Arabidopsis thaliana: one gene and its partner. The protein of the gene in region 2 interacts with the protein of the main gene of each other region in a pairwise test. Each region holds a gene or a part of one and is shown on either strand. Other genes may lie near its edges.

What was found.
Region 1: the proteins of AT2G37000 (region 2) and PRR5 interact in a two-hybrid assay, tested with the Arabidopsis thaliana proteins (one study listed by BioGRID).

Annotation. Positions count from the first base shown.
Region 1 is NC_003076.8:8,347,510-8,365,634, forward strand, and holds PRR5 (two-component response regulator-like protein), read right to left. Parts: upstream 11,038-18,125; coding exon 10,812-11,037; intron 10,557-10,811; coding exon 10,395-10,556; intron 10,316-10,394; coding exon 10,185-10,315; intron 10,030-10,184; coding exon 9,575-10,029; intron 9,482-9,574; coding exon 8,872-9,481; intron 8,788-8,871; coding exon 8,695-8,787; downstream 1-8,694. Other genes in the region: CID13 (CTC-interacting domain 13), read right to left, coding at 1-267; AT5G24450 (Transcription factor IIIC, subunit 5), read left to right, coding at 1,271-1,405, 1,657-1,906, 1,997-2,086, 2,179-2,269, 2,394-2,460, 2,875-2,917, 3,036-3,207, 3,280-3,378 and 6 more; AT5G24460 (RING-H2 zinc finger protein), read left to right, coding at 7,306-8,208; AT5G24480 (Beta-galactosidase related protein), read right to left, coding at 16,322-16,889, 17,043-17,527. UniProt on the Arabidopsis thaliana protein: Transcriptional repressor of CCA1 and LHY, thereby controlling photoperiodic flowering response. Involved in the positive and negative feedback loops of the circadian clock. With RVE8, forms a negative feedback loop of the circadian clock.
Region 2 is NC_003071.7:15,538,720-15,554,390, reverse strand, and holds AT2G37000 (TCP family transcription factor), read right to left. Parts: upstream 14,146-15,671; 5' UTR 14,002-14,145; coding exon 13,435-14,001; 3' UTR 13,143-13,434; downstream 1-13,142. Other genes in the region: AT2G37030 (SAUR-like auxin-responsive protein family), read right to left, coding at 285-659; TRFL8 (TRF-like 8), read right to left, coding at 2,434-2,604, 2,685-2,741, 2,822-3,052, 3,132-3,222, 3,312-3,594, 3,676-3,766, 3,850-3,902, 3,998-4,184 and 1 more; AT2G37020 (Translin family protein), read right to left, coding at 5,599-5,711, 5,796-5,931, 6,050-6,075, 6,211-6,255, 6,961-7,076, 7,153-7,249, 7,484-7,880; NAP12 (non-intrinsic ABC protein 12), read right to left, coding at 8,232-8,388, 8,476-8,609, 8,701-8,990, 9,093-9,241, 9,323-9,787, 9,873-10,175, 10,307-11,154, 11,231-11,304 and 6 more; SIGF (RNApolymerase sigma-subunit F), read left to right, coding at 14,375-14,462, 14,636-14,790, 14,897-14,994, 15,087-15,272, 15,367-15,622.

The DNA of each region.
Region 1 (18,125 bases), on a different chromosome or scaffold from region 2:
ATTTCCCCAAAACTCAGAGTGGTGGGTTTGAGCCAGAAAAGAAGGGACAAATTCCTTAGCCATCGGATTCAAATGACTTATCTCACTCTTGAGATTCACTTCACTGGTTCTTTGGATCAATTCGTTTGTTAGAACAGAGGATTTGGATTTAGGTGTCTGATCATCAGAACATGATGGTTTTGTCTCTACTAATGAAGTAGTGTTGTTGTCTATATTCTGATTATTAGAAGAGTCCACCTTCACACCAACATTTTCCGCGACAGCCATGATCAAACCAAAAGATCAATGAATCTTTAGATGTTGGTAATAAAATATAAAAAAACAACTCATGCACTGGAGAAAGGTTAGAGGATTTAAGGAGATGATTAAAATAGAGGAAAAATTATTATGCTCTTTATAGCTAAAACAATTAGATTTTCTAGTCAAGATTTTTATTTCATTTTTTTTTGACATTAGTCAAGAAAATAAGCAAATACAATAAATTATAATTATTTAAATTTTCTTTGTGTCAGCACAATTTCTGCATTTTTTTCTTACTACATATAAAGTTATTATTACATTAATAGGATTCTGTTTATTTTTTTAATTATCTCTATCTTATTTATCTAGTTTTGGTAAGAGAGAAAAAAAAAATCGAACCGGTTAATCAATTCAATACCGGTCGGCCAAGTGTCTCTCAGAATTTGACCCCAATTCGATCCGATATTCTGAAAACGACAACGTTAGCATTTCGCCATTTAGAACAGGAAATAGTTTCCGTGCAAAAGCTTCGGTGGCTCTTCTCCCACCGCCGTATGTTCTTCCAGCGCTCCGGACCGCCGTCTGGTCTGACTTTAATTTGAGATCTATTCCGATCCCTAACAGCTACTTCTGGTATACTATCGTTCTCTCTCTCTAACACCTCTGCGTATTTGGATCGTATTGACTAGAGTCTTCCCATTATACTTGCATCGTTCTCTCTTCCATGGTTTCGAACTTGTTTAAGCTTATAGTCTTCAATACCTTCTAACTATCTAAAAGGTTTCGTGTTTCAATTTGCTTCTGGTGCGATTTGCTCAGTGTTTTCTTTCTCTACCGGAATCAGCTCTAGACAAATTGTTTGCTATGTTATTGTATTCACTGGGATTTTGGATAGTCCCAGTGAAAATCTTTCAATCTTGTTCGTGTTACATTTTCTGATTTATGAGAGGAATAAAAGTCTACCACTTTAGGTAATAACTTATCTCTTTTGATTCTTGTATCACAGCAAGTTTCAACTTGGAAAGAAACAATGGGAATCATTGAAAACGGAACTATCTCGGGTAACTTGCCTAGCAAGGAGGCGTTTGTGGTTCACTATCCTGGCTATCCATCATCTATTTCCCGAGCCGTGGAGACTCTCGGGGGAATCCAAGGAATCACAACCGTAAAGCCTTTTCCTAAGACTCTTGTTTCTTTGCCTGCTAGTTATTACTAGGAATCCCTGATTTGTATGCTGATTATCCATATAGCTCTTTTGTAGCGTTGTTTGGGTTTCTTTTGCTTGATGCATTCCATGATTTAGCAAATTGGTCACATTTCTAAAATGTTCGACAAGTAAAACATAAACTTGATTAGTAGCAAACTTGTACACAAGGGTTGGACGGTTTAATCACTTTGAAAGTTTTTTTTTCGTAGGCAAGAGAATCAACGTCAAACAAGCTTGAGCTGCATTTCCGCCCTGAAGACCCTTCTGCACATCCTGCCTATGGAGAACGACGTCATTGTAATGGTTTTCTGTTAAAAATTTCGAAGGAGGATGTTAAGAAAGATTCTCTGCCTGAAAGTCAACCTGTTATTTCCACTAGCGATGCATGCTTACCAGAAGTGCGCCCAGCTCTATGTGCTGATATTGTAGCTCGTGTGTCTGAATCGTATTGCTTTGATGGTAAGAATATTTCTCTCCAATTTCTGGGGTCTTGTCTTATACAGTGAGCCTTGGCTTAAAATGATACTTATTCATGTGGGTATTGCGAAGGCATGGTCGACTACCAGCATGTAATTCCTATTCACGCTGATATTGCACAGCAGAAGAAGAGAAAATGGATGGAGGTGAAGTCGCTTGCAGGTGTTTGTCTCCATTCATTTGGTTTTCATTATATTGCAAATCTTTAGCTGTAATAACATAAATTAAAATGAATCCTCTCGAGTATCATGCAGGAAAAAATGATCTAATGGACATGGCTGATGAAGATGTAATGATGTTATTGCCACAGTTCTTTTCACCCAAAGATAGGCCAGACAACCTGGTGTAAGATTAAACTTTCTTATTTTTCCCCTACAAAACAACCTATAACTAAGAATGAAGGAGAACATAGTTGATTATAATTTTAGAAGTTCTATTGTTAATTCTACTTTCGTTGTTTGATTCACAGGCTGAGACTTCCAGTAACATCAAGCCCAAAAAAGAAAGATGAGGAACTAACTCAGAATCTTTATGAGGTAAAAACAAGAAATGAAACCATTTGACGTTTCTGGATAAACTTAAATCAGACTGTTGGAAAAAATTGACTCAAACATATAATCTACTGATATGGCAAGCTTTTTTCTTTTTCTGTAACTAGTAAAATGGAATTCTTAATTACTGCAAGTCTGTAACGGTAAGGTTTGAGACTTGAAAGAGGTGGATTCTGCTTAGGTTTTCTTACAGGAATGTCGGTAGTTTGCAAATGTTTTTTCTAAAGCCTGTAGTTGCAGAGTTAATGATTCTGAAGCATGTAAAAGCTCGCAGTTCACACTTTTAAAACATTGAGGGAACTGCTGTTCTGTTTATTTATATTGATAGTTAAAGATTCCATGACAGTTTACTTGTGGTTGTTACTTCTCCATTTGCTAATTGATCTACTGATGATGCAGATAGATATTGGCCCAGTATTTGCAATTGATTTTAGTGTCAAAGATATCCTTTTCTCCGTTTTACTAATCTTCCAAATCTTATTATTGCTGAGTATGAAGCCATGTTTGTTTGATGATTTTTGTCATTTTGGATATCTTTGATCAGTCCTTAGCATTCATACAGATCCCAAAGATATTAAAATGGGAAGACTATATCGTTCCCACCTCCAACCAATGGAAATGGCAGGTAGCAGTGTCTGCATTGTTTGAAGAGCGACCTGTGTGGACAAGAGATTCCATAGTCCAACGACTACTCGATAAAGGTCTTACATGCACACATCATATGTTAAACAGGTGAACAAATTTTATGCATTTCTTATGTGTATTATTACTGCAATAACCAACTTTCTGGAGTTTTCTCTGCAGGTTTCTTCTTAGGGCTGCATATTATTTCTCGGGTGGTCCATTTCTTAGGTTCTGGATTAAAAGAGGCTATGATCCACGGAAAGATCCTGAATCTCGTGTGTGAGTTCTATCTCTTTAAGTTTATTCATATTACAAATGCATGGTCTATGACACGGTAATGTAGAATTGTCATTTGTACACCTCAAAATAGAACAGAAATAGGCCGGTTTTACACCTCTGAACTTCCTCGTCTTCTGCAAAGTGTTTCGAGAATGATACATATTCTACTTGGCTCATTTGAGAGCGTATTTATCTTCCAATGCAGAAAGTGTTGGTGCTGACATTATCCGGGTTTTGGAAACTTGCTTGACATGAAATTTTCTTCTGTAGTTCATATTTTCCTGCATCCAGACTGCAGCTGTATGTCAAACCTCTTCACCTCTAACCTTTTTTATATTTTGTTTTTTTCAGATTCCAGAGAATGGAATTCAGGGTTCCACCTGAATTAAAGGGTTATTGTGATTCCAATGCAACTAACAAGTAAGATTTTCCATTTTTCCTTGTAAACTCAAGATATTTTTCTACTCAAGATTCTCAATTTGTAATATATATGGACAGATAAACATATATCATGATAACATTTTCTTTGCAAGTATTGATTTGTGGTCAATTGTATGAGAACATTATAATTTTTAAAACAATGCGAAGTGTGTCTGAATTCTCTAGAAACGTGTCATTTTCCGATTTTCAGTCACTTTCCGAGGATAGCAACCTAAATGTTCTCTTTTAACAGTTTCAAGATAGTTTCTCAGGGAACATATATATGAATTTACATGGAGAAATTGCAAATAAAACATTGGATATATGTTTGAAGAAACGGTCCAATTATAAAGGTGATGTTTTCTTTCTTTCTTATTTGTGACAGGTCAAAGCCAAGCTGGGATGACATTTGTGCGTTTAAAGTATTTCCTTTCAAATGCCAAACATTTCTACAGTTATTTGAACTTGACGATGAGTACATTCAACAAGAGATAAGAAAGCCTCCCAAGCAGACTACTTGTAATGTGAGTTATCAGCTAAAGCTTTTGTTAATGAAGTAGATTCCAAAAAAATTAGAGTCTTGCTTATTACAGATCAAACCTATACATGCACTTGCAAAAAATACCACTACCAAAACACTGCGTCATCAATCACACACAAATGATATATTGAGTGGAAAATTGTTTTATGTGAGGTCTTGGTTATCTGTACTGATTTGTTTTTGTTGCTAGTATAAAACAGGATGGTTCTCTGAAGCGCTGCTTGACAATTTGAGACTCCGTGTAGCTGTGAGGTTTGTATCTGTGTTTCCTGAGCCAGGTTTCGAAGACGTTTTTAAATCTATTCAAGAAGAGTTTGAGAGGTCTGAAAAGACACGTATTCAGAAAGATGCACTGCAACCAAGTCAACGGAATCACCAGGAAACAACTAAAGGTAAGATAGACAAAGCAATTTCAGTTCTTTTCATCTTTACATGTTAGGCAGCCTAGTTAGTGATTGTTGACATGCATGGAGCCAAGTGCTTCTTTTTCAAATCTCAATGGTCTCAAAATTGTGTTAAAGCATGGTGAACTTGACTGGAGTTAATTTGTTGGACATATTGTACGACGAATTTGTAAGTAAATATATAAGGGTGCACAATCACATGTGCCAGCCAAAATCGAATGAGGCAGGCATTTTATATTGTCATACATCTCATGCTCTGCTTATTATCATTTGTCATCAAACACATTCTCCTTAAAAGAAGTATGGATTAACAGTTGTTGGTGTAAAATTATCCGCAGATATGAAAAAGTGTAAAAACACAAACAAGGAGAAAGATGATGATGTTAATGCGGATGAGGATTCTGAAGACTTGGATGATGAATACGAGGAGGTAACCATGCTTACAAACTACTTCTTGTTTACTTCACCCATTAGTTTTCCCGAAAGGCTTGTTCATCGTTTCTCTGTTAATCTAATGTGTTGTGTTGCAGGCTGCAAATGATGATGACATATCAATAAGTTCTCATGGATGTATCCTTCAAAGCATAAACTTTCATAACATAAGCACCAATTAGTCATTAGTACATGCAGATTCTAGGGGATTAGGAGAGAATTTAGAGCTTGATCTGGTTTGGTTTAAAGTTTTTCTTAAACAATGATAAGATGGTGACATGGAGAACAACTCCAGAACCTATCTGCAAGGTTTGTTCAATAGGTTTCCAAGCAGCGCATCAGCTTTGTATGGTAGTGCCAATGATGATAATGATAGCGATGGAGAGTATCCGATTTACGAGCAAGAATCCAACGCTCTCGACGATGACGAGGAGGATGATGAGTGAAGAAGTTTGAATATAACGTGTATTTACATTGTAAATACGAAACTCGGTGTGTGTAGCTAAATGTAAAGAGACTAGATTTTAACCCCCGTATACCGCGGGACGATTTATTTTTTAAAAGTAATATAAATTAAAACTTGCAAATTTTATTTTTATAAAATATTTATATTTTGCAATTTATAATTGTTATTAAGTAACGCTATACCACGAATCCATGAGACAATTGTTAAAAAAATTGAAGTTTTAACCCTTATTAAAACAACATATTAACAATATTTTCAAATTTTATAAATATTGATTCAAATACATCCACCATATAACCCAATTCCAAAATAAAACCCGTTTTGTAATTTCTTCACCCATCCCGTGATTTTTTTTTAAAGTAGTAATTTTTAAAATTTTAGAATTATTAATTATATATATAAATTTTGCAAATTGTATCATTGTTTAATACATTTAATACATGTATATTTTATAGTTTAATTTTATATATAGTAACATTATACATACAAACATATCATTTTTGGTTTTATATAATCTTTTTTTAAATTATGATGATTTGATATGTTTAGTATTAGTGGTCTTAAAAAAATAATAAATTAAAGATTTAATCCGTATTGAAACGGTTAATTAATTATATTTTAATTTTTTATTAATGTTGATTCAAAAACCCGTCTCTCCAAATTCGTCTTGCCAAAAAGCCATTTATTTTATTAATATTAATTTTATTTATGATATGACTCTAAATTATAATCTAAACATTTTAGCTAATAACATAGGAGTGCACCATATTTATTTAATAGGGAAATGTATCATATGACCCGAATGCACTTTTACCCAAATCCACCAAAAAGGTCTTGCAAAAATACTATAGAGATAAGAAACGATAGTTAGTTTTGATAGGTATAAGATTAGCAAATATATTAGTTAGCTTAAATTAGTTAAAGAATACAAATTGAAAAGGTATATTACACTTTATTCGAATATAGTATCAAAATTTATGTAACACAGAGATTTGATAAATTTTTAATTGTTGAATACTTTTTTTTTTGCTAATTTTTATGTAATTAAGATTTAATTGATTTCGTATATAAAATATGAAATTATTTTACGAACTTATTTGTTTATAATTTGGTAACAGATAGATATTTGAATATTCAGTATATTTTGCTTCAGATTAGGAAATCTTTGATGACCCGTCTTTAGATCCAATAAGCCCTATAATTAAGAGATGAATATTGTCGTTAAATGATTTTGGTAACCTTAATGACGTCATAAAAGGATTTTGTTTTTGATTAAATTTTTCTAATGGCATTGTTATGTAATTAATTATAAAAGTTAAGGTTATATATAAAATATACTTTCCAAATAATATAGTAGGATTAGGTAACGGTTAATTGTAATTTCAAACGTGAGATTCATTGTGCAAATTAAAGAGAATCTAGTAAAAAATAAAACTAAAGGGTAAAAAGTTAAATTATAAAAAGATAAGATCCATTGTGCAATTAAAGAGAATCTAGTTATTAAAGATTAGATATGCGAATAATCGTCGTCACAATCTCTTCCTCATATTTATTTCTCTGGTCTTATTTATTTATTAATAGGCCTCTCTGAATCTTCTTCGGTACGAGTATGAGCCACGATAGAGAGTTGGTTTCGATCGTTAGGGGTATTTTGGTCAATTGACATGTTCGTTGGCCCATCTCCGCCGCACACACCACTCGTTAACCGCCGTAACATCAACAACCACCGGCCTCGTAACGCAACCGTCACCTCCGCTTTACCTGATATTTTCCTCGCGGCGGTCTCTCTCCTTTTCCTCTGGTCATCTCCTAAACCTCTAGTCTCTCTTCCTCCGAACAGATTCTCTTTCCCTCTAAATCCTCGCCGTCGATCCATCACCGCCATGTCTCGCCGATCTCCTCCTCCTCCTCCTCCTACTCAACGCTTCGCTAATCCTCAATCTCTCTCCGATTGGCTCGAATCGCGATTACCTTCCGATTCATTCGCCGCTTGGGGAGTCAAACCGGGAACCAAAAACGTTCATAACCTCTGGCTAGAACTCTCCGACGGCGAAACTTCTCTCGCCGATTCAACTCCTCCAGTACGCACCGTCAACGTCGTCACCGTTCGAGTAATCGGAAAAAACGGACGAATCCTAGTGGAAGCTCATCAGGAATTATCCGATGGGAGTATTCGTGAAAGATTTCGTCCTTTATCAGAGAAAATGAAGCCTGAAGAATCTCCCGACGAAGCAGTTTTTCGCGCCATAAAAGAAGAGCTCGGATCTATCTTCAATGGCGATGGTGATAACATTGGACAGAGAATTAAGATTCTTCCCGGAACTTATAACAGAAGAGTTGAAGAAAGGAACTCGCTATCGTATCCAGGATTACCGGCGCGTTACGCTCTTCACTCTGTGAATGCAACGGTGGAGGGATTACCGGAGCAAGATTTCTGTACGGAGGAAAAAGAGTACGAGGGAGGAGACTCGACGAAAGATTCGGTTGAAACACTCGCCGCTGGGAATGCTGTAACTGTGAAACGACATTACTGGAAATGGGTTAGTCCTGATTCGATTCGATCTTAAAAAAAATCTCAAAACAAAGCTTTTCACAAATTTTATCAATCTTGCTTTTGATACATGAATAATCAGAGAGCCATGTAGAGATACATATACACATTTATATATGTTCATAATCATCTTCTTCGTTTGGCTATTTTTGTGTTAGTGGATACTATTCTCCAGAAGTTTTGATCTCACTATAGCTTATCTTCTTCGAGTTCATTGTTTTGTGCTGAAATTTGTTTAGCTGAGATTTTGTCAATCTTTCTAATTCGTCTTGCAAGTTACAGAAACGTAATCCAAATGTATGTAGTTACAGATCTAACGTAGATTCTAACTAAAACTCAACAACAAGCTCGAAAGATGTGTATGTACACACAAATGTGTCACCAAATCTAACGTATGTGGAATTAGTTGTACAAAGAACAGCTCCTGCATCGGAGAAAACAAAATTCCTCTAGTTGATGATACAAAATTGAACTGTATATAATATATCAATTTGTTGGATCACTATGGAGCTTGTGTGGATTGGACTTGACGAACGAATTGGCCTTTGATTCGTGGTCGTTGCTCTGCTAATTTCTTCCGGCTCTCGTAACGAACCTGTTAAGTCATTCAAAGGTTCCTTTAGTATCATTACGTTATGAGTTCATCTATGTGATGGAACCATCGAAGTTAAGTTTTTACCTTTTTCTCATAACATCTGTCCTTTCGCTTCATTCGGAATTTGGTTAAAGCGGCTTCTCGTTGAAGAGATTGCTGAATTTTCCCGACGGATAATGAATAGCCATCTTCGTTCTTCTTCTCAATAAGCTGATCAATGTGATTGCCTATTGCACTATGTTCGGTTGCAGAAGAGACGTATCTCCTCTCATCTACATCCATGGAACAATCCCGGTCTTGTAACCCCTCGGGTTTACTGTTGAATGGGTGAAACATGGAACTGTACTCATGCGGGCTAACGGAACTAGGGCTTGGGGAGAGTGAAGCAGGAGCCATTGCAGATGTATAAGCTGTGTTGGGATCTCTGAACTGTATATTGTTGATAGGGGTTGGCGTAGGGTATGAACTCTGTCCCGGCCAAGAATTCAGCTGATTACTAAACGGTGGACCAGGTGAGTCAGCTCCAGTGTAAAAGCTGGTGTCGTTTCTTCTTGGAGCATTTGGAGGCGGTTCAGATGTATTGTATTGGTTCATTAGCACAATGTTATCATCTTGACTTGCTGCAACATTCTTTCTTTGATCAGTAACCACTGGGGAGGCTGAACATTGTGTCTGCAACGGCCTGTGAACGTACCTGCAACAAGAACATAACACACACAATCAGCAGAAAGAACGACAACTATTGAACGATTAATAGAAAGAAGAATTGAGAAATTAGACAACTCACCGTGTGAAAGCTGAGGCACTAGAAGGATGAAGAGAAGGCCGGTCTCCAGAAGATTGGTTCTCAGAAGCATTAGGTCTTCTCAGAGAAAGATCAAGCTCTATCCGAGATTCGTATTGAGCAACACTTTCTTCTCTGTTACGTCGTCCAGTTCTTCTAAACGATGCTCCCATGAAGTCAATGGCTTCTGCTTGCTTACTCTGCAACTCATTTGCTAGAAGCCGTGTCTCATTAAACTGAGACTTTGCGCACTCCATCTGTACTGCGTCTCTCGCACTAACCTCCACGTCTGCGCTCTCACCTTCCATCTCTGGTCTTGTACACGAGCTCTGGGCATCACCACCATTCCCACTCACAACATGATCGTCTCTCTTTCCGTTCGAGTTGTTTGCAGACGCACCCTCGGCTTTCTGCTGTCCAACACTCTCATTCCATGGAAAGCTATCAGGAGCAAGTGACTGTAAAAGATAATCAAAACCAAAAACAAATCTGAGAACTCAATCATCTTTTCAAGACAACGAAATTTCCCAGAACTTATATAAGAACGGGTTTAAGTTGTAGAGATAATTCATCACACATAAAGCTTAAAACAAAAGATGGATATGAAACATACAGTTTGTCTTCTCCAGACATGCTGCCAAAGATTTCTAAGCTCATTCCTCCTCAACGGCTTAACAAGATAATCAGCCGCACCTTTCAACATACACTTATACACAGTATTCACCGAGTCCTGTGTCGACATCACTGGAAAAAAAAACAATACATAATGAGCCAAAAAATCATTTCAAAACGATGGAAGAAAAAGATGTATATATCAACGTACTTATAACAGGAATGTTCTTGCAAATATCATGCTCCATGATAAGTGTTAGCAGAGCATATCCAGATATTGAAGGTAGATCAACCTCTGTTAATATCAAATCAACACTTTCAGGCTTTCCTTTTAGCATCTCCCAAGCTTTTAAGCCATCAGGTACTGCAGCAACTGATCAATACACAAAACCAAACCACATTAATACAAATCCTTTTAGCTTGTTGTAGAAACTAAGCGTTGATAAAGATTTCTATATGAACACAAAACCGACAAAAAAATCGTTGACTTTTCTAAATTTGACTTTGAATTGTAACATTTAGCCGCACGCGAATCAGATTCAAAACATTAGCATCTCAATCGAATTCATAATTCTCAGATTCTATACAAACAAAACCTAAATCTCAAGCATTGAAACCAGAAACTAACCTCTGTAACTACATTTCCTGAGAAGAGCAGCGATAATCTGTCTAGTAGAATCATCAGCTTCAACGAGCAAAACTCTAAGCGCGATTTTCGGGAGAAATCTCTCCCACTTCACCAAACCATCAACACCGGCGTCTTTCTTCCGAATCTTCCGACGTGATAACTTTCCTCCGCCAGCTTCAGGTGCTTTAACCACCGTCACTTCAACTACTTCCTCGCTACTAGTCATTATCACAACACAAACACTTAGCTTTGAAAAACCTAAATCGATTATTGAAGAAGAAGAAGAAAGCTCCAGAGAAAGAGAAACAGTTACAAAACAAATCAAAATATTTGTGAGTGGAGAGATAAATGAGAAGAGAGCAAAAAAAAGAACTTTATTCTTTCTATAATAGTGTGGAGAAAAGAAAATATCTAGAAAAAATCTAGCGAATGTTTTAACGGTTATGATTGAAAGTGGGTGGCGAACCGACCATGATCTAACGGTTGTGGAAAGAGTATTTGGATTTGAAAAAATATCTAGTAGAATTGGCTGACGTGGCCACGTTTGCCACATCAGCAAAATACTGTATACGAGACAAAAGAGATCCAATACGCCAAATAACCTTCTTTTAAGAAAAAATTGGTGTGGTGGCTAGCCTTTGGTTTTTCTATGTGGTTCATATTTAAAGTTGGATTTAATTTTTTATTATACTTTACCAAAATATTTATTGCAATTGATGTTTATGTATTTGTGATGGAGAAATATTTAGTGAATTTCTTGTTTATTTTTCTTTTAATAAGAGATCAACACTAAACATTGAAACTATTACTTATTTGATGCTTCTAAATTTTACTTTTATTTTAAAATGTATTTTATATTATTGTTCAGACATTTTAGCTTTTGAGTACCTATAAAAATCCCACTCGTGACTTTTGGGATAATACCAAACCCAAAAAATATCTAATGCTAGTGGGAAAAAGTATCTATACAAATTTATCCAAAAACAATTGTATTATTTTCTGTTTGGTACATAGGTTTGCAATTTGTTTATTTTAAAAACAATAAGGATATTTCAATTTTTTTTCACATAAGAAAATCAAGGACACATGGTATAATTTATTTTCTGAAATAACAAATAAGAACTTTTTGTTAATGAATTAATTATACATATATTTCAATATTATTTTTTGGCACAAAAAACATTTGCTTACACCAAATGATCACTGGTGCTAACTAATAGCAAATGTCATATATTATTTTATATTTTTTCGGCCAGCCATATATTTTAGTCACGAAATAAGAACACTTTAATATTGATTTGCATTAGAAAAGAAATGGAACAATCAAACAAATGAATATCGATCATAGAGATTCATAGTTTACCAAATTTTTATCAACATTTTGGTTTTTTCTATTGCTACTATTTTGGTTGCGTGGTGGAATAAATCAAATGGAACATGCACGAGTCAAGAGTAGGGACAAAGGGTGATGAATTTTAAAGTAATTTTCCGCGGCTAGATATTTTGTTGTTGGGTGGGATTAGATTAGAGACACTTGTTTAAAAACCTCGTGGTTCTTTGGTGGATAGGAATATGACACGTGTATGGTTATTATCTGACACAGTCTTTCACCTTTAAATGGTAGCTGTCACTGTCAGAGACTAAATATCTTCTTTTTTCCTTGTCTCTTTACGCGCCCGCGAGTGTAATATATCTCTCCTACTCGCTCTCTTGTAACAAGAGTCTTGTCCTACGCTATGACTTTCTTTTTTATTGACTGGACCCTATGGTTTTCTTCTCTTAATCAAACTTAGTAAACTACTAGGTAATAAAAAAGGACAATTAGTGTAATGATCAATCAAACAAATGAAGAAAATGGTTAATAATAAGCCAGGTGGTTTAGTTCCTTGTACTAGCACTTCATGCGTTAAACTGAGAAATAGGTTTAGGCCGGCGTGTTTTATTGACAAAAGAAAAATAAGTGCTATATAGGAAAACTATGTCAGTGACAAATTTTTATTGTTGTTAGATGGGTTTAATTAACATTGTTTTACTATATTGTTGCTGGTCACATAATTGACAGCATATATTAGAAATTTTATTATGATGTTGCTAATAGAAATGATATAAAATAGACAAAATAATTAAGTCGCATTCGTCCAATAATAAACCAGAAAATAATTATTCGTCATTTGGATTTCAGTAATATTGGTCACCGAAGTTCGAATTTTAACATAGTTTTTTCGGGCTTGAAGATTACTCTTTGGACATAAAAAACCATTAAAATCATCTGAATTATCAAAAAAAATTTGTATAATGATGATAACGATATATAATGTCAAATAATTTTTACGGATAACAACTTTACTGTGGTATCTAAATAATAAGTTATTTTTTTATAATATGTAATAGAAAGTACGAAATTCGAGAAAGAATTACATTTTTAAAACATTAGCAACTGTTTTTAAAAGTAATCACTGTTCTATGATCAATACTTATTTGATAAATTACAACTATTTGAAAGTATATTTATTTTATTAATCAAAAAGATAATATGTGGGGCAAAATTAAAATTCAACTACACAACATGATACTTTGAAACAAATTTTTTACTATTTTTGTTTTGTCGCCCAAACTTTAAATTACTTGAACTCGAACCTATGATATACAGACGAGCGTAATAACCACAATTGACTAATAACTCAACGATATATAAGAAAAAGAAAATGTTTGATTAATTGGTTGGATGATGCTCTACGCACCGGTGTTGAAGTGTAGTGGATCAATGACTTTTGGCTTGAGGAATAAAATCTAAAGATATTTTGGCCTAACTTACACTGAACATGCTCCATCTTTTTTCAAACAGATATTTTTTGTCTGTGTGATATTTCCATGGCCTCTCTTTTTGTGTGGCCAACTTTGATATTTCCTTTTTTTTTTGTTCTTTACAGTATGTGTATGATGTTTTTCTTCATTTTTAGGCCACTTGAGATATTTCCATCTTATAATATCATAAATGGCTAATGGTCTGCTCTATGAACAAACAAACAAAAAGGCTAATGGCTTATCCATTTTCCCAAAAAACTTAAGCTAGTTGGCATTAATGGTCTTCAAAACATCCATACAATCAAACATTATCTACGTTAGATAATCTAACCAATCCGTTAATCTAATTAAAGATTATATGTAAATCTTGAGATAGGCCGATATTGATATCATGGTGGATAAAAAAACTTCAAATTAATTTTGCTGAGTTGCATGAAAACAATGTTTTGCCGATGTTTTAGGTAATGATTTTTTTTTTGAGTCAATTCCATCTAATATATTTAATCGTCATCAACATGTTGTTCTATCTAGACCACAAATGAATTTTGTCTTTCTATGGTTAAATGTTTTCACTGATATGTAATAGTAATATAATGGGTTAGTAATATTAGATAGATATTTTTGAAAAGATATCTTTATAAAAATGATGCGTGACAAAATCTTAAATTAATAAATTATTTTTATCTATAAAAACCAAAACTATAGTAGATTTGATCAATAAAGATATACCTTAGATTTGTTATTTCCTAATAGCCCTAATGTTCCTTGTATGTAGCAGTAGGCGACTACAAGTTAGAAGAAACCTTGATACATATGTTCAGGGCCAGCCCTGACATTTTGTGGGTCAAAACTCAAAAAAAGAAAATTTAAGGTTAAGTTAGAAGGTTAAAAAATTTGGGGCAATTATTGGAAAATGAGTAAAATAAAGGATGCTTTGTAAATAAGCTTTGCTGAAAAAAATGGAGGTCACAGCAAATGTTTTATCCTGCTGTGTCCAGATGTGTCGAAGATCAGCTCTGCATATGCTAACGAAGGATCTAAAAAAGAATATGTAATTGGAAAATGCTTAGTTTCTACGAGACAAGTCGTACTATAATAAATACTAATGCCAAATTTAAAACATATTATTAGAAGGAAAAAAGAATCAGTAAGTAAAAAACAAATAGGAATGTCTAATTATTACTAGATTAACCCAAAAACAAATAGGAATGTCACTAAGTAAAAAACAAAACTCTTTGGAATGGATGATTTGAATGAATTTCATGGTTAGTTTACAATAGCCAACAACACATGGATCTCTAATTGTCCACAAAACCCGTGATTCCTAAGCTTATTCAAGATCCCAACATGCAATAGCTTTTTTCTATCTATTTGTTTACGATGATTGAGATTATTAATCATTATTACAAATTAATAAATGTCATTTTTACAACAAAAATCATTAAAATACAGTGCATATCATATAAAACAAATTTTGTACAATCAATTTCAATTTGTTATCATCTATTGTGAATATTATTTTTCTAAACCGATGCAAGATTGATAGTATCCAAAATATTACTATTACATGATTTATATTGTCTAAACTAGTGTATTTTAAAAATCTTATTGTGAAATGCCTTACAATAACAAAATTTAAAATTTTCACTTTAAATATTAATCTCCCAATATTATTAATTTAGAGAGGTTTTAGTTTTACTGTAATTAGTATATTTGACACATATTTTGTTTCTTACTTATAATTTTGATTAAAGATTAAACAAATCACTAAAATTAATAATGTTGGGACCATGAATTTCTATTAATTTATAGAAGTATTAATTTATAGAGAGTTTAGACTAATTTTATAATTTTAAAAAAATATTGAGTTTGAAATAATTTTGTTTTATTTATAATCATTATTTTTCTAAAAGTAATTGTAAATAAGAATAACTTATTGTGTCTATCAAATAACAAAAAAGTGTTTTCGATGTAGTAAAAATATTAAAATTGAACATTGCCAAGAATTAGTATAATAAAAATAAAAATAATAGCAAATTCATAATTTACTAATTTTTCTAACATATAACATATATATATTTTAAAATTTTTTTTTCAATTATTAATTTATGTTATTAATGGGACCATATATTTACATAGAATTTTTAAAATAAGTATAATCTTATTAATTTATCGATTTGTGTTATTTTTTACACTGGTACCAACTCGGGACCGAAATTTTTTATTAATTTATACAGATTATTAATTTATTAAATATTAATTTATAGAGGTTATACTGTAGTTAGCATAATCAATTATTATGTTAGCTAATTAATGACTAAATCACACGCATATAAAATAAACTATGTTGAGAAGAAAACAAAACACAAAATAAAGTAATGACCAAATTGAATTAGTAAGAAAAGCATTGTCCACATATATTCTCACTATTATTGACGGAAAACAAAATCTTAATATGTAATCGAGCTCAAAAATCAAAATACAATACTAATTTTTTTAAAAACCGTATAACCTTTCATGAATCATTGTTTAGATTTTTATCCTTGACATCACTTGGTGCATGCTTATGACGTGTAATGAAGATTTTGGTCGATATCTTGTTGCGATATCACTTATGAATTTTCTTTTTGTCAAACAAGCCTTTTGCATTTCATTCATTTTATCCCCTAAGAGCAAAGGTTACAAAATTTTCGAGTATAAAAAGGTTACAACAACTTCAGAGAACTAGAATTAACAACAAGAAAAGGTCGATAGCTTTTATAATCCATAGAGGAACAGAGACAGAAGCAATCAAACAACAAGCCACATATGACCTCATGATGTATCATAGACACTTTCGCGACCAAGTCAGGGAGCTTTGGTGTAGTCACGATCAAGAAAACTTGATCTTTTGACTTTGAAAATGTGTCCTTTGCCACATGGCTTGCCGGCACGAAGCGCAATAAGGACGTAAGGACCAATGGTGGAGACTCATGGGAGGTAAAGGTTTTTTCGGGTTTGGTTTGGGGCTCTAGGTTTAGGATTAACGGGTAAAAATGATTAGAGAAGATTTGGTAACCACCGTTCCTTGGAGACGGGATCATAATGCCATTCTTCATCAAACTTTTACTTTCAAGAGTAGTGCCCAAGGTGTAGCTAATTATCTCAAGGATGAAGTCAATAAGCAAATGAATCGGAGATGAACACTTAAAGAAGCTTCGGTAATCATCGCTCCTTAGAGACGGGATCATAATGTCGATCATCTTCAAACATTTAGCAACATGAATAAGACACCTATGTGATTCTAAAGACAAGGTTCTCAAGAGATTTTTGTACCAACCTAGCAGCAATGTGTGATTAAGACTCAATCGATGTCCATTAGCAATTGGTATCATGAATCGACACAAATGCAAACTAAAAGAAGGCAAACATCAAGTTGAATCAAACCTATGATTTTGCGGAAACGCTTTGGAGGGGCCGGGCCAAGTCATTAAAGGAGATGGGTCATTGCTTTTGGGGATAGGCCTAGAATTGGTTAATGGGCTCAAACATGAGTGGCCCATTAAGAGAAACCGTAGCAAGGCTTCCGTTGAACAGAGGACGGTGATGGTACGACGGATCTGTGGTGACAGATAGGACCTCCGATGAAAGCTAAGCGATGTCGTTGGGACTGAGATCATCAACGACGAGGTACACACATAAAAGAGATCGGAGGTAAGGGTGGTGATGGATGAGATCGGATCGGATTTAGATCGGAAGAGATGGGGTTGTTCTGTTGGAGAACACTTCAAAAAGGTCGATGCAGACAAAGGCTGAGGAGAAGGAAGGGTCGCCGGCCAACTCCTCTGCCCTCTGTCACTGGTCAATGAGCAGTCGAAAAAATGAATCGATTGAAAATGTGGTCGGGATGATTGAGAGAAGAGCCAAAGCATAAATAAAAAGAGAAAGAGGTAACAAAATGTGTGAAGCAACGGAAAGAAATCCCGACGCCGGTGAGCAGAAGCTTCACCGGATGACGTAGTAAGGGTAGACTCTTCGATATTAGTGCTTGGAAGAGTTTTAGTGATTATTTAGTTTGTGATATACACTTACGAATTTTCTAATGTTGAACATTAGTCAATGAAAAGGTTTATGAACGTCAGTACTAGTACATACTAAACTAAATTTACTACACTAAGAAATTACCACAAAAATTATGTAGAATTATCAAATTTTATTTGTGGAAATGTGAATGTAAGACCTTAATTTTATGAAAATTTTACAACAAAGAATTCATGTAACTAACTAATTTCTCATATAGAAACTAAATTAATCTTGTAAGTAAATTAAGTCTCATACTTTCATGTAATGCCAAAAGAATTAAAGAAGTGATAGTGAACACACATCTCAAATTAAAGGGACTAATTTGTAAGAAATGGAAAGAAAGGGGTTTATTTCACAATTCTTCTCGTTTTGCATATGTCATCATCCTTATCCATTTTTCACCTTATCCAAAATATTTTCCACTTCCTTTCTCACTACTTCAGTCTT
Region 2 (15,671 bases):
TCATGTTTTAGTCTCTTTTAGTCAGTAACTAGCTCTGGCTTTAGTGGCTTCATGTATTTCTTTAGAGCTGGAGAAGTGTGATACATAACTTTACTCGTATTTTATTGCTTTCCTTGTAGCTAGTAGTAATACATTTCCGGCTGAATTGAAAGACACATTTAATACAAAAAGTCTTATATTATTATTAGTGTACCCCGATAGCTTAGCATTAAACAACATTCTTTTTGTAAACGTGGAGCCGGATAAATCAATGAATGTCTTGAATTCCCTGTACAAGAACCTTCCTAGATACATATGCAGTTATTCTGATGCTGGGGTGCACCAGCGCAACGGACAACATCGAGGAAAGTACTCTCATTGCATGGAATCCATAGTCTGGAGTCAGCACTGAAACCGTAAGCATCCTGTGCTTGATCCAGCAATGCTTGGAAGAGTGGGTGTTTAAGCAGGTTGATATTTATCACAAACCTCTTGTACTCTTCACCCACATAGACAACCAAATGTCCCTTAGGGACATCTCTTGGAATCACCTCAGCTTCCTTCTTGAATGCCCAGCAAATTCTCTCGTAGCATGACTCGCAAGACGCACAAGGTATTATGACTTTGCTCGTCATCTTTTTCAGTTTCTTTTCACAGGACTTAATGAACTTGCTCTTCATTTTAGTAGGAGGAGAAGATTAATATCTAATATAAGGTAGATAGATGGATAGAATGTTTTGAACTTTTTTTGATAGAGGAATATGTTTGTGAATGAATAGTACACAGTGAAGGACAAGTCTATATATATACGCAGAAGTAGAAATATCAGAGTTCCTTAATAAATGTTGGGACATGACAGTTAGCCAAAGAGGGTGAGATGGGCAACTTTTAAATGATACAGTACTTTATACAACCGTGCGGTTCTGTTACTTTTGTTGATAGAGTTGAAATACTGAAACTGTACGAACATACGTCTCTATGGTTAGATGTGATTAAAAAAATGATCTCTTTTTTTCCCTAGCTCACATTTGGTGTCAGAGTTCTTCAAGTTCACGGGGGGGATTAAGACCCCACAAGACAAGATGAACAGAGATAGAGAGGAGATAAGATCTGAAAGGAACAGGGTCCAGGGATGGGTCTAAATCTTCTTGGAGATAGTGATGACTTGGTTAATGATTCATGCATGGGTACTTTCAGTTTGATCTGCAGAAATCCAGATCTCTTGACTTTTCCTAGAGTTATGTTGGTTTTTAAACAGCTCAAGGCTCTAGCTCAGGTGACTTCTTGAACTATCTACACATGGTCTAATGTAGAACCATGCAATGATCAGCATTTGCAGTATAGTTAGGTAGCTTAACTTTTACAGGTGAGTTTGTATTTAACTTTTTACCGATCAAAAGCGTATAGTGATAGTTCAGTTAAAGAAGGCGGGGAAGAATGCGGTTCACAAGATTGAGATAGGGATGGTGAAAGGGTTATTGTCTCTAGGAAGGGTACATAGATGGAGAAGTGTCAATATTGGAGGGTCCATTATAAGAGTAAAACCGAGTATCATTGATTAGGGTTCATCCCCCTAAGGATTCACAAAAGATGTTCCCTTCAATAGAGTAAGAGATCCTCATTCTTACAACAATTCTCTTCTTCGAAAAATGTCTCTCTCAGATCTATCTACCTGTTATGTTTGTGTTGTGTGTGTGTTTTGAAGTTGGTTTTGGTCTGTCTAAGTTAATTAACAACGACTGCCATTCTGAACTAAGCTGGCTTCTTCTGACTTTAGAATTTATTGCGTGCATGTGCAAACACTCTTATGATGCAATGTTATCTCTATATACATTTCTCTTTCATGGAAAAAAAAGAAAAAAAATTAATCATCATCTTATCTTGGCCATAGTTTATGTAGAAATTGACTTCTCAGAGTCTGGACATTTGTTTCATGTTTGTGCTTTAATTTTAATGTTTTGTATTATTTGCATCCTAAAACTAAACTAAACCTTTTAATAATGTTCTATTATGTGTATGTCGATAATTGTATTTTTTTTTGATAAAATTGTAAAATTTATTGATAAAGTGATTTGATCTATAATATTTTCGATGTTTTTGCTCACGTGTGAGAAACAAACCAATTTCCCCTCTGTTTTTGCAGTTGTAATTTACTACAATTCTTTGGTTTTGGTTCTGGTTTTTGAGATTTGAAACATTTGCAGTATAACAGGTGGCAGAGACCATGAATTTTCAGACAAAAAGCCTCTAGTGGTTGTGTTGCTGCAGTTTGTTAGTTTAATTGCATTGGAGGATGGAGCTTATATAGAGGGAATAAGCTAAATGCTTTTCTGAATTGAAGTCATTCTCGGTTTCATTAACAGAAACTTCACATGGAACAACTTCCCAACACAGTTAAAACGATTCAAGTATCTATATAGCTTCTCTAGACTTTCTCCATGAAGACTATCAATATCATCCACTCTTCTTCTTCTTGTTCTTTGAAGTGCTTCGGCTTCTTGAGGAATCATGAACAATACACGGTGATTTGGAGAAGGGATATGGATGGAGTGAAGCAAGTTCTCTTACACGATGTAGAATATCCTTCGGTATAGAGCGAGCCACTGACTTTCGTTTTTCTTCAGCCTGAACATCTCAAACTTTGTGTTACAGAGGATTTCTCAGAATATGAATTTTTGTTGACAAAGGAAGAGAAAAAAGCAAACCTGTCCATCGTTATGCTTTTCGTTATAACTTGCTTTCAGTAGATTACGCCATTTGTCCTGCATTGAGGAGAAGAACTGAGTCACCAATCACTACTAAATGAAGAGCTTGCTTTTGAGGTGAATGAATGATGAAATACTCTGATATCAACGGGTTTGCGGTGTGCTGCATAATGAAAGAAGTGGTTCTTTATATCGGTCCATTTCCCAACACCAAAGTGAGAAATACCATCAACCAAATTCATTACTTCATCAAGAGTCCATATCCTCTGATTCTTTCTCCTGTCACTTTTGGTTCTGGATGTCTTTGTTACAGAAATGTCATCTTCACTCTCAGATAAAGTAAGCTGATCATCAGAAAATGTTTTCTCCTGCAATAGCAGATGGTATTTGGTTTACATAGATTATAAAAAATGGGAAAACTCTATAGTCTTAGAGAGTAAGACAAACCATTGAAGTGTGAATGTATTTCTTCATAGGTCCTTTCCGGGGCCTGAAGTCATAGGACTCGCAAGACTTTCTTTCACGAGAAGAATCTAATCTGTAACATTATACAAGAGAGCTTCACTAGGAAATCTGAAGCCAGTGGGATTATATATTCAGAATAAGACTTTAGTCACCGATGATTACCTACTACAAGCGGTGTTGAGCAATTTCTGTTTCCGATTCTTTCGTTTAATCCAAGAGCCTATAAATGTGGATAGTGGTTTCTTGTCATCTTCTGACTCATTTGTATCCCAACTATCTTTAACTTTTTCGCTGGATACAATCTGGGATTCAGCATATGGAACAGTTTCTTTTGACCACTCCGCGAGTCCGATGCTTCCACTAATTCCAGGAGAATAAGATTCTGAACTGAAGTTCATAAGACCATAGGGGTCACCCTCTAATTCATTCTTCTTGACTTCAGTTTCTGCAAGTAAATGATTGAATGGATTGTGAACCGTATAGATTGCTCAGTTGCACCAGGATGATAGAATCACAAAAATTTTACCTGGAGGGAAATGGTTAACAATAGAAGAAAGCTCATGTGATGCGTAGATATCTTCCACTTCATCAACTCCATCCAGAATTCCATCAAGAATCTACGAGATGACGAAGAAACTTTATTTCACGAATGACCAAGAAAAAAAAACCATGTAAAGGAGTGCATAAAGAGAACACATACTTCAAACTTTAAACCTGCTTCCACATCTTGAGTGCTAAAAGTGTTAACTCCACCTTAGAAAAAATGAAAGAGAACTCTAACATTAACCATACTCCCATTTACAATGTTACAAAGCCATTCAGCATAAAGAGCATTTGAATCGACTTACCATAATCTGGGAGAAAGCTAACGTCAAATCCATGTGAAAACTCCTCCATCTTGGAGGTTAAGCCCATATTCTCCATACCAAGACCTAAGAAACTGTCCACCGCGGTATTATCATGATGAGGATCCATTAGGAAATGCTTCATGTCACTCATTTTATCCTCCATTGAATGGCCAAGATTCTCATCAACCTATAAAGAAAATATATAAAAGTCATGTAATAAATTCATCATCCAAATGTAGAAAACCAAGAAACACACAAGTGATGAAGAAGAAGATGTTCTCACACTGGCAGATTTGAATCCAGCAAAAGTATCAGGAAAACCGGGTGTTGTTTCCATCCCAAAAGGTCCCATTTCAAGTCAAGGTCCAAGTTTTTACACTGCAAAGAACCAAGTATATGTCACAATAATTGAACAGAACCGGACAATGTTGCCCATAAACCAATCTAACTTACATGCTACATTCACGAAACTAGATCTCATTTCTCTCTATATATGCATGTTATCCCAATCCATTAGATTCATCCATGTTTTTTAAGCACTAATAAACAAATTCACAACATGAAACATGTTCTCTCCAAATTAAAAAACATTAATTTGCCTCAAATCTAGTGAAAATATATAAATAAGTAATATAAGATTTACTTAAGAACAGAGGACAGACATTCTATGCAATTACAGTATAAAGAAACAGAGTAGCCAGACAAATTTCTGTCGGATGATCTCAGTCTCATTGACAGAATAGATAAACACAAATAAAGAAAAATCAAAACTCTCAGCAGCTACAGAAGCGTCAATGTTTTAAATGTTTATCACAACATTCAAAATGCAAATGCAATATAGAAAAAAAAAAAAAAACATAAAAGAAATATACGTATAATGTGGGCCATAGAGACGACTCACAGCTGTTACATTAGAAAATAATAATAAAAATATAACTTTCCAGGGAAGAAAAAAAAGAAAAGAAAAGAAAATCCAGCTGCTTAGCTTATCCCCTTCCTTTAACTAAACACCTGCAATTTGAAGAAACTAACAATCCGAGAAAAAATCGAACGATATCATACATTACATTTGTGTTGGAAAAGAGATCGTTCAAGTTCAAGAGAGAATCTAACACAATGTCAGCGAAAAGAATAGTACTCGAAGCTAAGAAAAAAGATACCAAAGAGAGACGACGAGAGGAGACGAAGAACACTGACGCAGGAGGGGAAATGGCGACTGTTAGACTTGGATTTTGTTTTTTTGTCTTTGTTTCGGATTCCAAAAGCTGATTTATTTAGTTTTGAAATCCAAAATGACGTAAGACACCGTCAAATATAACGTGCGTTTCAAGTCCGCAACGATGGACAGGTGGAGTTCATGAACATCTACTGTTATACTATTAAGCTGCTGACTTCGGATAACAGTAAAGTTGTGACTAAAATGTGGGCTTTCAAGGCCCACAAAAGGAATACTTGCCGTTTTCAGTAATTGCAAACTACACCTAAAAACTACAGTCTCTCTATTTTCCTTGCCGTTTTTGGTTTAGAGAAGAACACTCCTTGACGTTTTCATGCTAGCTAAACAAAGTTATACATAAAAACTTAAAAAGAGCCGAGGACATTTAGGATTGGCCTTGGACTGCTTGGACGCCAGGAGGATCTCCGCCGGAAATCAAACCTCGGATCTTGACATCATAGTAAACTTCTTCCACTCTTCTTAGGTCGTACTTCATACCTGTCACATGTCAAAATCGATTTTTTTTTTATGTAACCATCGCAAATGGAGAAAGAAGAGCAGTTAGAGATATGTATGACTTACTGTCGAATTTCTTGCGCAGGAAATCGTTCCTGAGATTGAGCATGCGAAAGGCTGCATGAAGATCTGTCAGGAAATTCATCACCTTTCTTGGGCAGTCATAGTCTCCTGCTGTCACTCGATTAACCACGTACCTAGGCTGCTCAAACATTGCATCACCCATTTGCATTTATCCAAAGGTTTTTCATAAGTTGCTATCAAGTAGGATGCTAAGGGGGAAGATGGAAAGTAAGATTTAGGGATAAAAATGATCTTACCAAATCGTTTGACATGAAACAAATTCCTGCAAAGTATTCAAAAAGCTGAAGATCAGAGAATATAAAAGCAATGTTGCGATTCATAAAATGCTCGTAAGGCATATTTGATCTATAGATATTGGCCTTCCAGAGCAAATATGGGTTCTTTCTCAGAAACTTACCAGTGAGATAATCTTCTGTCTCCAATCCAAACTCCAAACTGTTCACTGAAGTACAATGAAGTGGAATTAGAAGAGCCATAATGGCAGATGAATTGACCAACACCTTGTTCTGTTTATTTTACTCAAAGACAATTGATTTGACAAGATAACAAAACCCAGATTTGAAACAAAACGACACTTGGGCAAATATCTATTCTACACCAACGTAATGAAAAACCAACCTTCCAATTATCATCCATCCATCCTAAGGGAGAATAACTGAGTTCATGGGAAACGGCAACTAATAACTCTATTGAGGTGAAAAAATCAAATCTTAGCTAAATGGTTGACACTACAGTGGATAAAATGCAGACTGAAACAAAGCCTAAGGACAAAATCAATAACAACGAGCAAGAAAAGGTAGACTAATTAACATACTGATAAGAGAAGAAGACTAGTGGCAAACTGAATCTGATTATTGAGAAAAGTAGAAAACTCGTTCATTTAGTTTTTCCAACTGAGACAGGTCAGGCAAAAGGAGGGTCACAGGATAACACGTATAGTATGTTGGAGTCATGAACGGATTTCAAATTGATTGCCTACTGCCAGCTCAGTTGTTACCTATTGTGGGAAGGAAGTTTCTATACAAAAGTTTGTGAGAGAACTAGCAAAACAAAATAAGGTTTTATTTATAGTGCAACCACTAGGCCATGATATGTATTTCAGTATTTGGAAGTAAGGAAAATAGTAAATTGAGATCCAGAGACATACACCCAAGTTTTTCTTCAGCTTCGGTATGCACGAGAAGAGTTCCAGTTTCTAGCCAGTGCATAAAAGCAAGCTGGGAGACCACTGCCTGTGTTTCACTTCTCCAGTCTCCATGGTACCTACATTACAAAAACCTTTTAACAAAAAACCATTGCAAATAAAGAAAATCTAACTACACATAGCTTTCAAACTTACCTATAGTATTGTCCAGGACACTCCTCAAGAATTTCAGCAAGCCGACCATAATACTGCTTCAAATCAACGATTTTTTCCTTAGCTTTCTCGATAACCTCTGATCCATCAACAAAACGAGCAATCTATATTAGTAACAACCAAACACTTCCAATGAATTTCTTAAAAGAACAAAGGCTATGTGTAATTCAATATTCATTCTTTTCTCAACAAGTTCTTCATTTTTAGTTACTTCCCTTCATAGAGAACTTCATCACCAAGTTCTGAACCCATCAAGCCATTTCAAACATTTAGCTAAAAGATGCAATTTTTAACCTAAAGACTAATCATTTACCAGGAATAGGACGCGATTGATGAACGAGAAGAAGATTAGCTTGAATAAGCCTAGTAGCAGACTCAATCTCCATAACCACAGCACGAATCTGCTCTCTCAAAGCTGCAGATTCTTCCAATTGAACACGGAAACTCTCGAACTGCTTCTCAAGCGAATGAGACACCTGACCATCTCCTCCCGCCATAGGAATGTAGAAAGAAGAAAAGGAAGAAGTCGAACAGAAGGGAAAGGAAGATGAAGGAGACACCGAGTTTCTATGCCGGAGAGGATTGGAACGGCGAGGAGAAGCGTCGCCGGAACAGAGAGGAAGAAAATGGAGAATCGAAGAAGAAAAGGGCTTAGGGTTTATCAAACGAGACGCAGTGATGTGAACGTTTCGAAACGCCGAATTCATCATCGTGTCGTGTTTTTTAGTTACGCCGCTTCCCTATTCTCTTTCCGACATCATCTTAGTAACCAATTAAACCGGATCATATAAACCAAAGAATCGTAACTGAAAATAAACCGATTTCTTTGTATATCATTCTCTGTATGACTCTATCTTACCAAAACCGGTTACCATATAAAGAAAGAAAAAGCATGATGAATAATCACCATTATCTACAAATAAAAATTACAAAATTGGAATTCTAAAATCCCTTCTTCTCTAATTCTATAAACTACTTATATAACTCATTTAATATTTAACGTATGAAAAATAGAAGAATTTTACAAAATGTAAGCTTTTTAATCATGTGTAATTATTAGATTATTTCTTCTGGAATGTAACCATGCAGAAATAAGCTATGAATCGGCATATTAGTCCCATGAGAACGAGAACAATGAGACACAATATCCAATCACTAAGATCATATCCGTTTTGAGACAATGAACTGCATCTAGTCACCACCCACACTCCAGAGTACCTAACCCAAAAAAAAGAGTCCAAAATCAAATTTTCTGAATTAAGATTTGATTATGTGTTAGAAGAATTAAATCTTCAAACTTTCTACCTTTGAGCATTGGAAAGGACAAAGGCTTCGAGAGTCCATTTGGGGTAGCAAAAGCTTCCGAGATACTTAAGGACCATGCTTTCTTTATCTTGATTAGCGATAAGAGTCATAACAACGGGGACTAACACCGACAACTGCAAGAACATAACAGCAAATTCAGGTACCATATGGTTAGTGAAAATTTTGGTTCCTTCATATATGAATTATGAGAAAGTGAGGACAAACCAATTGTGCGGCGCTAGGACTGTACAATATGGCAAAAATGTAAGCCATGCCTGTTACACAGTAGACCAAGCATACTAGTACAATGTAGTTGTCTTCGAAACTAGATCTCGGGTTGTTGAAGAAGTAGAACATGGACAAGTACACTAAAGGTTTCATAATTGTGTTTAAATGGTCCATTGTGTCTTTAGCCATAAAATGTGCCAAACTGCTAATTCCAGCGGCACTTTCTCTCCAATATTGTAATTTATCTACAGAGAATGATCTCAATGCCGAGATCTTACACAAAAGAGCTACAAAAAAAGAAAGACATACAGAAAAGAGCTTAGTTAACGTTCCAAAAATCGCGAATACTAGTAAATGTAAATTAATATTTGTGTACGTAAGAAACTTACAGACAGCTATTATGGTGTATGTGTAGCCAAGTGTATCGATTGTCTCGTCGTTCACCTTCGCAAGAGTTCCTAAACAAGCTCCCGCAACTAATAATATTAGGAAATCTAACGCTTGTAGTCTTGCTTCTCTAAGCCGTTGTTTTCCAACCCTGAAATAGATAGACTAAAGTTTTAATGTACATATGAAATTAACCACAAAATTCCATCTATCAAATCTAGAAAAATCATACCTTCCAACAAAATATCTATATTGTCGACCTACGGTAGGAGTTACTCGATTAGAATTGTCATGAGAATTCGAGTAATTGTGTTGTAACTGATCTTTTGTAATCTCCACATTAGTTTTCACATCTTGCCATAGATCATTACTAAAAGAATTATGAGTGGAATCCTCTTGAGCTGATCCAGTTGACGAGGAAGGAAGTCCATCACAAAATTTCAACATATCGTGAGGCACAGGGTAACCATTGTGCAGCATCCATCTCACAGGAAGTTGTTCTATAGTTATATCACCATCTGGTTTCACAATGCCTTCAAGAATATCTATATAATGATCAGGAGGATTGACACGATCGGGAACCGTGATTCCGATATCAGCAAAATATTCTTCTATTTTTTTGACTGATCCATGGTACACGGTAAGACCACCTTTTGCTAGTATTATCATGTCATCGAACATTTTGTACATTGTATAACTAATAAGAGGAAAAAACCAATTATTAAGCAAAAAGTATTTCTTAACATAAAATTGTAACATAATTCATGGAGGAGATAACATACCTGGGTTGATGGACGACCATACAAATGTTAACACCTTCAAGTGCTTCACGTCGAAGTGCTCTAAGAAGTAATTGTGAAGATGCACTATCTAAACCTGTAGTGGGTTCATCTAATATCAATAGAGAAGGTTCCATGACCATTTCAACACCAACGTTCACACGTTTTCTTTGTCCTCCAGAGATTCCTCTTTTTTCTATCGTACCAACCAACGAGTCTCTTACATGTTGTAATCCTAAGCTTTCAATCACTCTTTCAATGATCAAAACTTTGTCTGCTTTTGACATATAAGCACTTAATCTGCATGTAAAGAAACATATATAAATAAATGATATGCAACATTTTTTTGAAGCATAAACACTATGTAATAAAAATGTATTTTTTTAAGAATTGGACTCTCAATCTCCTCTATGATATGAGAATAAATTTACCTGCATCTTGCGCTAAATCGAAGGTTCTCTTCGACGGTAAGATTGCCATGCACAACATCATCTTGTGGCACAAATCCAGTGATCTTCTTATACGAGTTTATAGAGTCATTTCTACCATTTATAAGGATTAGACCCGTCCTCGTACATCCAGTTGCTTTTCCTGCCAAGGCAGAAAGAAATGTAGTTTTTCCAGCTCCTGATGGACCCATGACCGCAGAAACACGACCTGGCATGATCTTTCCGGTGACAGATCTCAATATATGCTTATGTTTACCCTTCAATGTAAGAGTTAGATCCTTAAACGCGACTTCTATAACAGGTCTAGTCCTCATCTCAGTGTCAGTAGCCATTGAAATAACTCCCGAGAATGTCAAGTTCTTGTTGTTTTGTTCCATAGCTTTCTCCTTCTCAATCTGACCATATGCATACTTAAAAATCTGGCTTTGGGTATGTAGTTGTTTACCCTTTGGAGCTTGTGGCTTCTTCCCAGGTTTACTACCGGTTCCTACATTGAATCCTTCGTTGTTACTCGGGTTCTCCTCCATTGATTTCATCATCTTGGTTAAATTACTCGGTTCTTTTTTCTTGTCTTTTGACTTTCCCGATGCTTTAACTGGTGTGGCATCCTTTCTAGCAGATTTCATGCGAGAAAATGTTTGAGATAGTTGTGCAGACAATCCCATCTTTTGGTTCTTGGCAACACCTTTTGCGGTTTTCCACCTTTCTCGAGCTTGTGTTGTTTCTTTTGCATGTCTCGCTGCAGCTTCTCTCGACTTTGCTTGTCTTTTTTCTCGAGTGGCGAGAACTTGATCAGAACAGTTATAAACCATGATCATGAGAAGACTTAGTGATGCCTATATATACAATAACGAAAATATAATTTCCAACAAATTTTAAAGCAAAATGTATTCTAATTAACTAACAACTTACAATTAAGATCGCTCCATAGGCATGAATATTTTGGTTTGCGGTATTCGGATTGCATGTTGCGAGCTTAAAACATGCTAAAACGGTCACCAAAAAGAGAATTAATGAATGATAATGATATTATAAAACAATTCATTTTCTTAGGTTTTAGTGTTTTAGAAACTTACGTTTCTGTGACGTAGAACCTTGTCTGCAGTAATGTCTAAGTAATACATAAAAACATTAATTACATCCTTAATGATGAATATTTCATATATGAAACAAATTTTCAAAAAGTAACAAGAGTTGTGAGATAAAAGAATCAATACCCACTACTACAAGTGACTTTTCGAATCGTTGTTGGGCAATATGAACCTGGTGAACAAAACATATCACCACTACTCTCAGCATCAACCCAACTATCTGCAGAACCACATGTATGATTCAACTTTCCCGGAGGAATTTGGTAGTTATATCTGCAATGTAAAAACTCTTTAAATCATCCACTAATAAGATTTTTCATTAACTTACTCAATCTAGAAAGCTAACAACTTACGGCTCACAAAATCCTGTTGTTTTATTAAGCTTGGCAAGCGGGCAATATGCGCCTAACGGACACGCTTCGTTTACATAAATCAGAGAATAAACAACAATGAATATGTTAGATTAAAGTTTTAGTACTTATAATGTTGATATAACATATATGTATGTAAATGGATATCTTACGTATCATGCAAGCAAGACCTTGTGGACAAAAGAAACCCTCACAACAAGGTTGACATTTACGAGTTCTAGATGGAAGAATTTTTCCATTGTTGAGATCAAATCTTTTTTCATCATCTGCATTGCAACTCCATCCAGGCTCACATCCGGAAACCCATTTAGCTAAATTGCAGTTGATGTTAGGCTTTACATGAACCGTTGTTGCTTCATCTCTTCTAACAAAACTACTAAAGTAGAACTTTATCTCCGCAGCTGAACATAGTCTAAGTGTGAGGTCACCTGCATATCACAAGACCATTAAATCTCAATGTTCAAGTATTTGAATATAAAAACATAACCCTTTTTATGTTGTTTACCATCATTTTTCTTGACACAATTGCTTAAGAAGTCCAGATTTTTATCAAAATTAAATGCTTCATTCCAATCGCCCTTCCTGAATTATCAACAAACGATATGAGAAAAATGTAAAATTCAAACATGGGACTACATTAGCTGATTTTGAAAAGACTTACAAATTCTTGATGCAATAACCTAAATCTCGATCAACGTCAGCCTTTAAAACAGTCTTTAGATTCTGAAGTCGAGTATAGATAAGGTTTGTAACCGAAACAAGAGCTTTTGGGTTCCCTGTTTTGCTGTAATCATCTCCATCCAGAGATAGTGCAAATGACATAAAACTCAAGCCAAAAACAAAGAACAAGAAGATGTGTTGTGTCCAACAAACATCAACCCTAACTCTCATTGTTCTTATATCAAAAGTCTTGCCTTAAAATCAGAACCTTCCGAATCGAAATATCTGAACCCTCTGACCTAACAATAGAATAGATACATTGGAAGCTACCAATAGAAATATCCGTAGAGATGTCTTGTGTTTTTCTATCATGTCTTGAGAAAACCAATGAGTATATTCTTGAAAAATGGAGATGAAGGATTAAAAGAAAGCTAACGAGCTTGTTGTAGATTTTTTTTGTTCTCTTTTAGAAAATCTTGAAATGTTGACGTTGAGATCAAAAGTTGGAAAGTTGAAAAATGAGAGACTTGCGTGAAAGAAGAGAGTTGAGAAGGGTCATCATGGAAGGAGGTCCAGATTTCTAGCAAATGAAAAAAAAAATGGGTGAGAAAAATGATTGGTTTCTTAATTATAACTTATTTCCAAAAATAGAAATAACTATATTGGAGGAGCATGACAAATGATGATTCTTTGGATTTCATGAGAAATTTTTGTTTATTTAAATAGTGTTGCTTAATGATTTCAAGCATTACTAAAAAATCACAAATCAATAGTGAGAAAAACAATATAAACATTATAAACATATGGCATTATTTTTTAATCAATTTGTTTCCAAAACCAAATAATAAGATTATCAAACAATATTATTAGTTGTTTAGTGGCAAAATAACATTACCAAACTAAACAACATGATTTGACTAAATTATCCTTATCTGTTACCTCCTAAACTTTTAAAATCCTAATTTTAACACTCTAAATCAAAAGCCTAATTTTACTAATGGTGACGGCGTCTACGTTCCTCCTCCTCCGCGATCTCAACCTCAGATTCCGCCGTCGTGGTCATCGGCTCTAAAAGCATCGCTGTGAACGGCATATGACTGTAACCATTCACCGGATACTGAATTCCGATTGGCTGACAAAGATCCAACCTACAACTCGGCGATTGTGGCGTTTGCGTTTGCGTTTGCGGCGACGTCATCGACGACGACGACGAGGAATCGTCCGCCGCAACATCAACCCAATTCGAAATGAGCTTAGTCCCGTAGCCAGTGGCGGCAATAATCGACGGTTCAGCTTGACTAAGAAGCCATTCGATGGTTTCTCCTTCAGTTTTGTGACCGAGCTCACGCGTTAACTGGAAAATCCTAGCGGCGGCGAGAGCCGGCATCGTAACTCGACGGCTTCGTCCGTTAACCTTCGTGTGACGGTCTTTAGTCCTGGCGGAGATACATCCGCCGCCGCTCGAGGAGGATTTCGAAACACCGAACTGCGTTTGGGAACGCGATTCGGAAGCTATAGCGTTGAAGTTGGACTCATTTCTGCACACATTCTGAAAAATCATCTCCGAATTCGTCGATTTTGTAAACTAATTTCAGTGACGATGAACAAGGATTCACAGAGAGAATCTTAGGGTTACTAAAGGAGGGAGAAGAAGATGATTCGAATTAACTTTTGGATAATTTGGGCTTTTAAGCCCAATATAAGGCCCAACATGATCCACTCTGTAGGAAAAAAAAAAAGGGAGAGAGAACAAAATCTGACTTCCATGGCAACAAACAAGTTTTAATTTTTACAAAAAAAAAATTGGGAGTGTGTGTGTCGCCTTATCTGTTCGTCATGGCTCTGTAGAGTAGCCTCATGTTCTTATTCTTCTTCTTCCTTAGCCATTCGTGGAAGCAAAAACAGAGTCTTTTATTCTTTGGTGATTCTGTGAAATGGAAGCTACGAGGAACTTGGTTTCTTCATCTCCTTCGTTTCAGACAAAGACTCATCTCAAGAGCAGCTACTCTTCTCCTTCCTCTGGTACTTCTTATTCAGCTACTCTTCATATAGAAATATTGTGTCTTTGCTGGATTTGTCTCTGTTAGTTACTGGAATTTGAAGTTCATGGATTTCAATTTGAAATTAGTGTATGTATACGAGTTTGTGTTAGCATTTTCTGATTTGTTTTTGTTCGTTTGTTGGTATTTCTGTAGTAGTGATGCTTCATGATCAAACAACAACTCCTGTTGTTAACTCACGTCATCTCAATTCTCTATCTCGACATTTTCCTGCGTCGGTTCTCTCACAGGAGCCACGGGAAGAGTCTAGGCCTCTGTCACATGCGTTAAGAGACGATAGAACATCCCAGGTGTGTTTTATTAGCAGCAATATTGTCCTAAGAGATTGAATCAATCATAAAGTTGTCAACTTTCTAGTCCTCTTGTTTAATGCGATTGGGTTCCTTGCATTTTTAGTTGACTCTGGAGAGGAGGCAGTTTGATGAATTGGTTTCATCTCGAGAAGATGAGAAATTTGAACAGCAACTTCTTCACTCTACTGGTTTATGGAATTTGTAATGTCTCTTCCTCTCTTAAACCCACCAGTTTCAGTTTTCATACAACCTTTTGAGTTTTCTGAATGATGTAGCCTTTCTTTTGTTTGCAGATTAATATCTCCTTTAACATCTGAAACGAAATTGCCGGCAGTTGTGTCTCCTTTAGCTGATGCAGAGCTTTGTGATGTGGTTGCACTAGCTCAGAAGGCTTTATCAGCTTCAAAACAAGCTGCATTGTTAGTTGATGACACTGAAGCAAATCCATCTGACAACATCAAGGATTCTCTCTCCACTAGGTTGCTTTTTTTAACCTTGTTTGTGTATCTTATCAATCTGCTACTTGTGGGCTGTAATGTGAAAAGATTTGTATTTCTGGATGTTTGGTTTTAGCTCTTCTATGTCCTTACCGGAAAAGGGAAACATAGTAAGATCGAAGCGGCAGCTAGAGAGACGAGCAAAGAACAGACGGGCTCCAAAATCAAACGATGTGGACGATGAGGGTTATGTTCCTCAGAAAACTAGTGCGAAGAAAAAGTATAAACAAGGGGCTGATAATGATGATGCGCTTCAGCTCTTCTTGTGGGGACCTGAGACAAAACAACTTCTGACTGCTAAAGAAGAAGCTGAGCTGATATCACATATACAGGTTCATGCTTTCCTTATTCATGTGTCCTTGGACTTCCTTCTTGTCCCTG